Linked DNA regions of Arabidopsis thaliana. The protein of the gene in region 1 purifies or fractionates together with the protein of each later gene. This does not show direct contact. Each region holds a gene or a part of one and is shown on either strand. Other genes may lie near its edges. The genes, in order: TIM, PGM2 and PGM3.

Region 1 (3,755 bases):
GATTTCGTATATTTTTAGGTATTCTTGATGTTTACGTGAAGCAAATATGTGTGACGTGAAGCACCGATTTAGGTGGATTTGACGAACGTGATTGGTTACAATATTCAATTTTAACCTTAACCTTGATTTATTATATTTGTATGATCGATTATGCTCTATCTTCAATCATACGGCAAAACTCTCCTGTGTTCCAAAAAGTTAAATTTCCATTTTACTATACAAAATAATGGAATCTAAAATAATGAATATCAAAATCTACGGAACCGAATAGTAAATGTTTATTGCGATATTTTATAATTATGTAATTAGGAAAGGAAAGAAGCTGTGAATTAACAGAGTAAATTATGTCAATTTGAGATTAGGCAGATTAGAGTTAAGGTGCTTAGGGTAAAAGGTCAAATCCTTTTACGTCATCGTTGAATTTTATGGAAGATGTGGTTAATGATAACAGTTGAAGCAAAGGAAAATAAGGAAATTTGATAATGACGCTCCACCTACAATCGTCTAGGTGTAGCCCATTGGCCATTACGAAAGAGAGAAGCAACTAATAATATTTAATTAGAAATGACCAATTCTCTGTATCCACGTTAGCTTTATTATCTGTATATACACTCATCTTTTACATTTCAAATTTCCAAAAACATAACTCTGAAGGAAAATGAAATTATGTAACTATTTGGAATTTGGATATTTTATGGATGAACTGGATCAAGTAAAAGAATAAACACGAAATAGTAATCTTTGTACATAAGAAACTGAGTTCATGTTTATGGTTTCTATACTATATCTAATATACATTATGGCACTATATTTTATTTTCTAAGCAAAGAACTCGAAGTTAATAACCTACTAATTTGCTATGGTATTAATGATTAATCCGAGTTGGATATACGTATTTTTAATAGAATTTGGCTTAGTCGATATAAAACTATTTGGTCGAAATAACGTGTTAGAAATTCTACACTTTCTATAAAAAGAAATTTAAAGTACATACTGCTTAAGAAAATAGACCAAACTACTAATCTTTAAATTACAGATGGTATTGGTAATGAATTTGAACAAAAACATTAATATAATCTTTCATCTGTCGGTCAAACATATAATATTATAACCTAAAGTCGGTTTCTATAAGTTTCCCTCAGCACATAAAAGAACCAAGAAGACCTTCTCTCATCATCATTATTATAGGAAGTTAGGAACTATGGCTTATGAAGAGAGAAGATCATCGATCCTGGATTCATTCTCGCTATCGCCACTACCATACCCAGTTCTTTTGATCCTAGCCGTTGCTTCAGTGTTCTTGTTGAGTTCATGGTACTTCAGCTTGGAAGAAGCAGCCGAATCAGCGGAAGAGCAGATAAATTTTGCGCTTCTCTTGATTCCTCTGTTTCTTATAGTCTTGGTCCGGTGGTTATCTTCCATGGAGAACCCTGATGCGCTTCTCGGGATGTTTTCAAGCAGTCGTCGGACAACTTACGTGAGTCCCGGAGCCGGAGGTGACGGTGGAAGCTCGCCGTGGGGAGTGGCGGCGTTGATAGTTTTGTTGCTTGTATTGCTTCAGTATCAATCAAGTTTCTTGGAGATGTGGTCTGGTTAATGATATTGATAGGTTTTTTTGATTTTCACGTGTTTTGTTTTGTCGTCTAGTAGCACGATGATGTAAAAATTTGGTCATTACTTACGAATTACGAGGTTTAAAATCTCGTGACGGTACTACATGTTATCCAATATCGGCTTGTCTCTTGGTTACACGTTGCCCAATACTTTGATAATTCATACTTTGAGCAAGAAGTATGGCGTTGATATTTTTCAAAAACTGCATTTTCAAGAATGCATTTACGATAAAGTTTTTAAAAGACCCTATGAATTGAATTGTATTGAATACATCCTCAATCAATGCATGATATTCATATAGTTGTCACCTCCATTTTACGAATCGTGATTAATCGTCATACACAAATGATCCACCAAACCGCATGTGATGGCACTATATGGCTCAAGAGCGTAGCCTCACAACAGTTTTAGTTCGTGTTTATAACCTTTTAGTTCAAATGTTTATATGTTGAAGAGGAAAAACCATTTGTGATTTTGAGAGAGATTCATCAGGTGATAAATTTGAGTTCTATATATGTCTTTGGATTTCGTATTATGATATTTTGACAACTTTTGTTTTCTAAACTTTTATGTTCAAATTTGTCTTCAGATATTTGTTTTAGACATTTGTTTAAATAATTATGCTTAAACAGTGTGCTCAATTCTTTTTGTACCTTTTTAAAAACATGTTTTATTATGATTAACGGACATGGTTGTTAATAGACATAATCACTATTTGTTCACAATCGAAATGGTCAATATTGGTCTAGTCCATTTTGATAGTTTTAGGTTTGATTGGTAGCTTCTTATCAAAACAGTAAAATATATACCGTTTAAAAGATCCAATGAAACTTGATCGGTGGTGAAATCAATGTTTGGACAAAAAGGAGAAAATAATGGATCATTCTCACCCAAACTATGGTGGTTACCAGAGAGCCACTTTGCGTGAGCTTTCAAAACAAATTTTTTCTCGATATTTAAACTTTTAACTTTAAACATATATATATATATATATATATATATATTAATAAATGAATAACAAAGATCTCTACAAGAGTAAGAGTAGTATTACAATTAACCATTAGAAGCTATTCTTGTTGCTTGACAATTGGAATGAAATATTTGGAACCAAACTGTAAGATAAAATGTCTTTAAGATGGAAAGTTCACAGAAAAGTGGCCATACGGTTCATGTTGAAAGCTGACCGCAAAGTGATCACTTCATGTGGAAAGTTGGAGGAAGTGGGCTGCGACGTTGTTACACTTGAACCCTATAGGGGAAAGAGTGGACTGGTATAAGGCTATTTGGTTTAAAGGAAGGATTCTCAAGCATGCTTTTATTGCTTGGGTTAATAAGAGACACATGCTCCATACTAAAGACAGGCTGAACAGCTGGATACTTAGTGTTCCATCCCTATGCCTTCTCCGGCAAGTATAGTGACTAATTGTTGACCACAGAAAAATTTATACCTACAAATTAGGCCCTTAGGAATACTTTTACCAAATTATTATATGTTCAATCTTAGAAATTAGTAGTACTAATTAGTTAAACGTCTCGACGGAAACAGTGTTAATGAAATGATTATTCATCGACCATTTTGGGCACCTGATCTTAGGATTGGACTACAGCGCGTGGCAACGAGACGTGACATAGGCGCGTGAGAACGAGGCTTGATGATACCATCTGTGAGTGCGAGAAAGACAAAATTACCCTCGAGAGTAAGAGAGAGAGCACAACCACCAACCCTCTCATCGCCTCTATCTCCTCTGCTACCTTAAGCTGAGAGAGTCACAGTCTCGTCTCTATCTCTCCTCTTTGCCTTTTTCCACTCACTACACGCCAAACCCGACGACATGGCAGCTACCTCTCTCACTGCCCCTCCTTCTTTCTCCGGTCTCCGCCGCATTTCTCCCAAGCTCGACGCTGCCGCCGTCTCCTCCCACCAATCCTTCTTCCACCGCGTCAATTCCTCTACCCGTCTCGTTTCTTCCTCTTCTTCTTCTCATCGCTCCCCCAGAGGTGTTGTTGCCATGGCTGGATCCGGAAAGGTTCCAACTTTAACCCTCAAACTCTATTGAAATGCTAGATTCTCATTGTTTAGGATTGAGTGTGTGAGAAAAGTTATTCCTTTTACTTGCATGATTGGTATCAATTAGAATCCA
Region 2 (3,755 bases), on another chromosome or scaffold:
ATGAGAGCCTCGACAAGGTCCTCTTCAGTAAGTTTTTCTTCTCAATGAGATTGGTTTGTATATTAGGATAAATGATATTGAAAGAAGATGGTTTTAACATGTAGTGGTTGCTTCATTTGAATGCAGAATCCAACAGAAAATCGGAGATAGATTGGAAGCAGAGGTTTGAGATCATAACAGGCATTGCTCGAGGACTGCTCTATCTACATGAAGACGCGCCAAACTGCATCATCCACAGGGATATTAAGGCTGGCAATATTTTGCTGGATGAAAAATGGGTTCCTAAGATTGCAGATTTTGGGATGGCTAGACTCTATCAGGAAGATGTAACACATGTCAACACTCGTGTTGCAGGAACCAAGTATGCTCTCTCTATTGTTTACCCTTAAAAAGCTCATTTACATATCTTCTTGTGTCATTTGAACTCTTTTTGTTTGTTGGTGTTTCATGGTAGAATGTTATTTAACGTCCATTGCTTCTTCTTTTCTTATGCGCAGTGGTTATATGGCGCCAGAGTACGTAATGCACGGGGTTCTATCGGTAAAGGCAGACGTATTCAGCTTTGGGGTTTTGGTTCTGGAGCTCGTAAGTGGACAGAAGAACTCGAGTTTTAGCATGAGACACCCTGACCAGACTCTTCTTGAATGGGTAAAGCCTCTAGTCTCATGCTCCATTGTTTATAGGGTTGTTGTGTGATGGCCTGACCCAGCCAATATTCTTCAGCGTAATATAACCAATGCTAAATTCTTTCTGAATGTGACACAGGCATTTAAGTTGTACAAGAAAGGCCGGACCATGGAGATACTAGACCAAGATATAGCAGCTTCAGCTGATCCAGATCAAGTCAAACTCTGTGTACAGATCGGACTACTCTGCGTTCAAGGCGATCCGCATCAAAGACCGAGCATGAGACGGGTATCTCTACTTCTCTCTAGAAAACCAGGACATCTAGAAGAACCGGATCATCCTGGTGTCCCGGGATCTAGATACCGTCGGCGAACACAACGTCCTTCAGGAGCAGCATCACTTGGAACATTGTCGACCACTGGTTCCAGCACAGATTCTTTCGGTTCAAACCTGAACACAAACACGGGAACTGGTGTTAGAGGTACCCCCGCATCTTCTAAAGCTTCAACTCGGAGTAATGCCACTAGAAGTGCTGGTCAGAGCTCTAGCTCAGACCCTCACGGGAAACGACATATGAGTTATTGAAGTACATAAAATCTGGTCATAGGTGATTGTAAATAGCGAGCTGCATATATAATATTTGTTTCATAATTTATTTAATTTTGCTTTTGAAAAGTAAATTAATTTATTTTTTTGACTGCAGTAGTGATTTAGTTTTGTAGTATGATTTGTTATATTAGCGGGAAAAAATTATGATTCATTTGTTACATTTGTATATTAGAATAATCACTTGTAGTCCCATTATCTAGGTCCCCACTATTGGCCTCGTACGTATAAAAGCATATTCTCTTGTACGTATTAACGGTACCTTACTTTAAACAAAACATAAAACTAAAATGTTTTTTATGCGTTTTAAATTATTTTTCAGTTAAAATTTATAAAAAGGGTTTTTGTAAACAATTATTTTGATAGTAAAAGAAATACTAACTGAAATTAGTGGAGAAAATACACAAACATATATTTAACTTTCTTTAATTTAAAATATACAGATTTTGTTTCTTTAATTTTTTTTTTCAAATTTTAGTTTTCATTTATTTTTAAATAAAGTATGACATGTCATAATGTTGTATTTTGATTTGTCATTAAAAAGGGGGTGAATCAAATTGGTTCACTCTAGAGGTGAACTTCGCCAAAGAATCACAGACCGTCAGTGTTAATCATCAGAGACATCAACGTAATGTTCCTCTTGGTTACTTCTTGCTTTAATGTTCCTCTTGGTTACTTCTTGCTTTCTACCTGATTCAGGTTCTTCAGTTAAAGTTTCTCTTTTCATTTTTGGGGTAATGCCCGGTTGGGCCTCGTTGTTTTATTTAGGTTCTAGTTCTAGGGCCTGCGTGTCCTTTTAGGCAGTTATTGCCATGTATGTTCTTTGGGCCATTCGTGCCTCTGTCGGCTTGTTGGGCCTTGTAATCGTTTCGGCTCTATTGGAAATTAAAAATAAAATATATATACTAACCCGTTTTGGGTAAAAAGTTAGGTCCACTAAAAGACGAAAAGAGATCCTACCAAAAAAAAAAACGAAAAGAGACGAGCCACACGCGTCACCTTCTCGTTTAGCCTCTTCATCTCCTTTCCTCAGACTCACTGTGTAAAAAGGCTTTTATTTTATCATCTTCAGGCTTATTCGATTTTCTTCAGATTTGAAATGGTGTCGTTCAAGGTCTCTCTCGTCTCTACTTCGCCTATTGATGGCCAGAAACCTGGGACTTCTGGACTCCGTAAGAAGGTTCGTTCGCTTTCGCTTCTTCTCCTTGTTATATCAATCCCCGCGTTCTTATTTCGAAATTGGATTAGAGATTTGAATTCTAAATTCAGATCTTCGCAACGAAATTGATTTCTTCATTTAGTTCCGATCTTATGGATTGAATGAATTTTGTGTGTTGGTTTTAACAATTTGATCCGATCCGATGAGATTTGAATTTACGCATTGTTTCGTAATTTTACAGGTGAAAGTGTTTAAGCAACCAAATTACCTTGAAAATTTTGTCCAGGCAACGTTCAATGCTCTTACTACAGAGAAAGTTAAAGGTAAAGATCTCTCTTACCTCTCTTTGATTGTTGTTCAGGTAAAGGTCGATGATTGCAAATTCCATCTAAGAAAGAGTATTTGTTAACTTTTTCAGGTGCGACACTTGTGGTTTCTGGTGATGGTCGTTATTATTCAGAGCAAGCTATTCAGGTAAAAGCTTTATATGTCCTTTGAATGATGGCAAACTGCGTTTTGCATTAACTTATAATTCTTAGACACTTTACTCTTATTTTAGTTGTTTTGAATCTTTTATTTCATAAAAAAGATAGTTCGTCAATACCACTTTATTTCCTATCTGGACAGATTATAGTAAAGATGGCAGCAGCTAATGGTGTTAGACGTGTGTGGGTTGGTCAAAACAGTCTGCTATCAACTCCTGCAGTATCAGCTATTATTCGTGAAAGAGTAGGGGCTGATGTGAGATATCTTCCTCTAAACTCATACTACTTACTTTTCTCTTGGGTTGTTATCTAAGGCTATGCATGTTTGCAACATGTAATGACGTGATGAGAAACTAACCCGAGATCCAATTTCAGGGATCTAAAGCCACAGGAGCATTTATCTTAACAGCAAGTCATAATCCTGGTGGCCCAACTGAGGTCAGTTCTCTTTTTGTTCTCACTCTTTTGTGCTTGTTCATTCGATACCCTCACTTAGTATTATTTGAATCCTAGCATCAGTTTTGTTAAACTATATGTTCATCTCTCTGCTTCCATATGCTGATTTCCTGCTATTCTATTCACAGGATTTCGGAATTAAGTACAATATGGAAAATGGTGGACCAGCTCCTGAATCAATCACTGATAAGATTTACGAGAACACAAAGACAATCAAGGAGTACCCAATAGCGGAAGATCTACCCAGGGTACCTAACATTTCTGATCTTATTACCTGTCATCATCTTTTTTTCATCTTGTATTTGTACTAATCATGTTTTTTTGCTGGTCTTTTTGATTGAATGCAACAGGTTGATATTTCTACTATTGGTATAACCAGCTTTGAAGGACCTGAAGGAAAGTTTGACGTCGAAGTTTTTGAT
Region 3 (3,755 bases), on another chromosome or scaffold:
GGTTGAGATTATTTATACTTGTAATGCAGCCGCACTGTTTGCCAGAGGATTGAAGCTGAAGGTGCAGTATGGTTTCTTATTAATCTTCTGAAGCAGCCAGAGATCTCACTAAACGTTACAGAACACGTATGACTTCATTTTCTTCTTCCTTTGTTCTTTGATATCTTTGTCTAGGCTATTATGGAATAACTGGACGTGAAATGGTATTTTGTGAACTATGTTATGCAGGTTCTGGATATAATTGCTCATATCTTAGATCCTAGCAAGGAAATGGAATCCAAGGTGTGTTTATTTTCCAAGGTTGATTATTATACATTAAATCTGCTTTCATTTGGCTTATGCTATTTCTCTACATGCTACAGTTTTATGAAGGACCGGTGAACGGATCAAAAGCAGACTCCAGGTCAGTCTTCTTCTCGATCTTCCTATCTTCAGCTCATTCATTCTTTTTGTTTTTTTAGAAGTATTAATTACTCAAAACATCGGATGGGAATGAACAGAAAGGAAGTTCTGGACGCTGCTGTTTTTTCTCGGCTCGTCCAGATTGCGAAAACAGCCTCTCCGAACCTGCTAAGAAACGCAATCTCTGTCATCGAGTTTGGTATAATCAGTAATCCAAACATGGACACGATCATCTCCAAGGATATCACAACTGTTCTTGATCTTGCTCTCCGGCAGAAAGTCCTGGAAGGTACAAAACTTATCTTTTGATATAACTCTGTTTGAATTTTATAACAGCATACAATACTTTTTATGGAAATGCAGAACCTGAGAATGAAGCTGAGGAGTTAGAGAAACATCTGCTTAAGCTAGAAGAAGCTGGTTTGACGATTTCCGCTGCTTCAAGGCTACTGACAAAACTTCTTGACTCCGAGTCCTTTCGCCAAACAATAGATACCGCGGTCTTCATAGAATTAGTAAGGAAGATCCTAAGATCAAGCCTCCCTCTACACTACAAAGACTGGGTTGCCGCTTGTCTTGTCAAACTCACCGCTCTCTCCTCTCCCTCTCAATCCCTCAACAATCCGATCAATCTTGAGGTAACTCTGTACAAAACGATCCCGAGCCTCGTGGAACAAATGAGCTTTTCCTCATCACCAGAAACGAAAGAAGCAGCGGTTTTAGAACTGAACAAGATAGTCTCCGAGGGAGTTCCAGAATCTATCCAAACACTTGCTTCACAAGGAGGTATCGAACCGCTGGTTAAGCTTCTTGAAGAAAGGAACGAGCGGTGCGTTGAAGCGAGTTTGTCAGTATTGTACAACTTAACCATGGACAGTGAGAACCACACAGCCATCATAAGAGCAGGAGCTGTACCAGTATTGAGACGTATCGTTATGTCTCAACGACCACAATGGGAGAAAGCTCTTCGGTTACTCAGAAATTTACCCGTTTAAGACATTTTTACAGATTATTGTCATGTAAAATTTTGGAATCAATTAGAATAATATAATGTATGATTTGTCATGTGAGACGAATATACGAAAAGTTAATTACATTAAGATAATCGGATTACGTAGCACGTATATTACTATTACCATATTCTAGAGATTACACATGATCAATCAAATATTTAATCTTTGAAATGTTACGCAAGCAAAAATGAATTTAAAATCTGAAAATACAATCCAACGGCTGAGATTTTCTTACTGTGTCAGTGAAAACGAGAGAAACGTTCTAGTTCACTCACTTGGTTACACGTGTCTTGGGATCGTTTAGCTTTTAAGCAAGCTTCTCTTTTGCGTAATTTATTTAAGAGCTGCTTGCTTTTATCATCATCACTCTCTCTGCGTCCAAATTTTGATCTTTGTTCTTCTCAAAGCGAATATGGTTTTCAAGGTTTCTACCGTATCCACATCTCCTATTGATGGCCAGAAACCAGGAACTTCTGGTCTTCGTAAGAAGGTTCGTTGATCGATCCTTGTCTTCTGAATCAAACGAAATCGAATTGTTGCATCTGGATCAGATCTGTTTAGATTTTCTTGAGTGTGATTTTGAAGTGAGATTGACCATCTGATTAGATTTGATCTATGCATTAATCTATATTGATTAGTGAATGATGACAAATTTTAAATTTCGTTTTCGTTATTTTATTTGGATCAAGTTCGAGATCACGTTTATTATATTTGATTTGAGTATATGTTTGGGACGCTTCTATGTGGTGAATGTTGATTTGATAGAGCTTGAAATTACGTTTTTTGAGTTGGTGTAGCGAAATGGAGACTATATGGATTGAATTTGTGTATAATTGAAACTAGGGAAGAGCCTAGTTGTTATTGTCAGATCTTCGTTTAACGTATATACGATCTGCAATGACGTTTATTGAGACTCACTGATCAGATCTGTTTCAGATATTTTGATAAAAGAAATTTGGGTTGATCATTTTATCCAATCAATCGAGTGTCGATTGTTTGTTCTACTCTCTGCAGATATCAAACTAGCATCTTTTTGTATCTCTGATTAGTATTTTTTTTTTTTTTTCTAACTGTGTAGGTGAAAGTGTTCAAGCAACCCAATTATCTAGAGAATTTTGTCCAAGCAACATTCAATGCTCTTACGGCGGAGAAAGTTAAAGGTGAGATTTTTTTCATACTCATCTTAGCTTCTCAGAGATATCTGCTCATTCGAAAAATTCATGAGTGTTTATTGTTCATATGTGCAGGTGCCACACTTGTGGTCTCTGGTGATGGTCGTTATTACTCAAAGGATGCTGTTCAGGTAAGGCCGATGATATTCCCTGTCTTCTGGATCTGTGTGAATGTAATTGGCGTATCCATAGAATTATGAATTAGTGCTCATGTATTTACAATGTTTTGGAGGGAACTCCTGTGTTAGGAAGGCCTGCTATTATCATCAATGCCTTGCTTATTTTTCTTTGTGTTCATCTCTAAAATTTGCATCGAAACCTCTATAGAGAGATTAGAGGTTTATAGAAGTTAAAGTTTTGTTTGACTTTGAAATCTCTGAAACTTAAGTTTGTTTGATCTACTCCTATTACAAATCCGGTTCATACTGTTACAGATGAAGATGTTTTACTGCTTTTCATACAATTTTATTTTGTATCTTAACAGATCATAATTAAGATGGCAGCAGCTAATGGTGTACGACGTGTGTGGGTTGGTAAAAACACTCTGTTATCAACTCCTGCTGTATCAGCTGTGATTCGTGAAAGATCAGGGGCTGATGTGAGATTTCTTTCTCTATGCTCATGGTTGTAGTGACATTTTGTTTTTTGTTTTTTTTGGTTATTTGCTATGTTTGTGCATGACGCAAAATGTAATGATGGTTTTGAGTTACTTAACCCCAGTCTCCGATTACAGGGATCGAAAGCAACTGGAGCATTTATCTTAACAGCAAGCCACAATCCTGGTGGCCCTACTGAGGTCCGTTCTGTTCTTGTTCCATCTCTACTGTGCTATCCTTTCATTTGAACTATTCGTTTTGTATCTCTTTATTTGTTCTTTTTTTAATAATAAGATATCTAGATGGATAATAAGACTAAGAGGTGATTCCATACCCCTTGTACAGGATTTTGGAATCAAATACAATATGGAAAATGGAGGACCTGCTCCTGAATCAATCACTGATAAAATTTACGAGAACACTAAGACAATCAAGGAGTACCCAATAGCACAAGATCTACCCAATGTATTCTTAAGAATCCTCTTATAGATTTCCATCATCTGTCTTTTGTTGAATCATAGTTGATCTGGTCTATCTGATGAATGCGACAGGTTGATATTTCTGCTGTTGGT

The links.
Region 2: the proteins of TIM (region 1) and PGM2 fractionate together in Arabidopsis thaliana (co-fractionation; one large-scale study listed by BioGRID). This does not show direct contact.
Region 3: the proteins of TIM (region 1) and PGM3 fractionate together in Arabidopsis thaliana (co-fractionation; one large-scale study listed by BioGRID). This does not show direct contact.

What each region holds. Positions count from the first base shown.
Region 1 is NC_003071.7:9,072,798-9,076,552, reverse strand, and holds the start of TIM (triosephosphate isomerase), read left to right. Parts: upstream 1-2,082; 5' UTR 2,083-2,106; intron 2,107-2,800; exon of another isoform or gene 2,801-3,018; intron 3,019-3,208; 5' UTR 3,209-3,446; coding exon 3,447-3,641; intron 3,642-3,755. Other genes in the region: AT2G21180 (uncharacterized protein), read left to right, coding at 1,202-1,597.
Region 2 is NC_003070.9:26,671,304-26,675,058, reverse strand, and holds the start of PGM2 (Phosphoglucomutase/phosphomannomutase family protein), read left to right. Parts: upstream 1-1,892; coding exon 1,893-1,967; intron 1,968-2,176; coding exon 2,177-2,413; intron 2,414-2,633; coding exon 2,634-2,715; intron 2,716-2,810; coding exon 2,811-2,866; intron 2,867-3,019; coding exon 3,020-3,133; intron 3,134-3,252; coding exon 3,253-3,315; intron 3,316-3,461; coding exon 3,462-3,581; intron 3,582-3,683; coding exon 3,684-3,755. Other genes in the region: AT1G70740 (Protein kinase superfamily protein), read left to right, coding at 1-27, 127-361, 498-684, 766-1,212. UniProt on the Arabidopsis thaliana protein: Catalyzes the reversible isomerization of alpha-D-glucose 1-phosphate to alpha-D-glucose 6-phosphate. The mechanism proceeds via the intermediate compound alpha-D-glucose 1,6-bisphosphate.
Region 3 is NC_003070.9:8,218,119-8,221,873, forward strand, and holds the start of PGM3 (Phosphoglucomutase/phosphomannomutase family protein), read left to right. Parts: upstream 1-1,689; 5' UTR 1,690-1,827; coding exon 1,828-1,905; intron 1,906-2,493; coding exon 2,494-2,575; intron 2,576-2,662; coding exon 2,663-2,718; intron 2,719-3,071; coding exon 3,072-3,185; intron 3,186-3,320; coding exon 3,321-3,383; intron 3,384-3,528; coding exon 3,529-3,648; intron 3,649-3,734; coding exon 3,735-3,755. Other genes in the region: AT1G23180 (ARM repeat superfamily protein), read left to right, coding at 30-126, 229-282, 363-403, 501-691, 766-1,397. UniProt on the Arabidopsis thaliana protein: Catalyzes the reversible isomerization of alpha-D-glucose 1-phosphate to alpha-D-glucose 6-phosphate. The mechanism proceeds via the intermediate compound alpha-D-glucose 1,6-bisphosphate.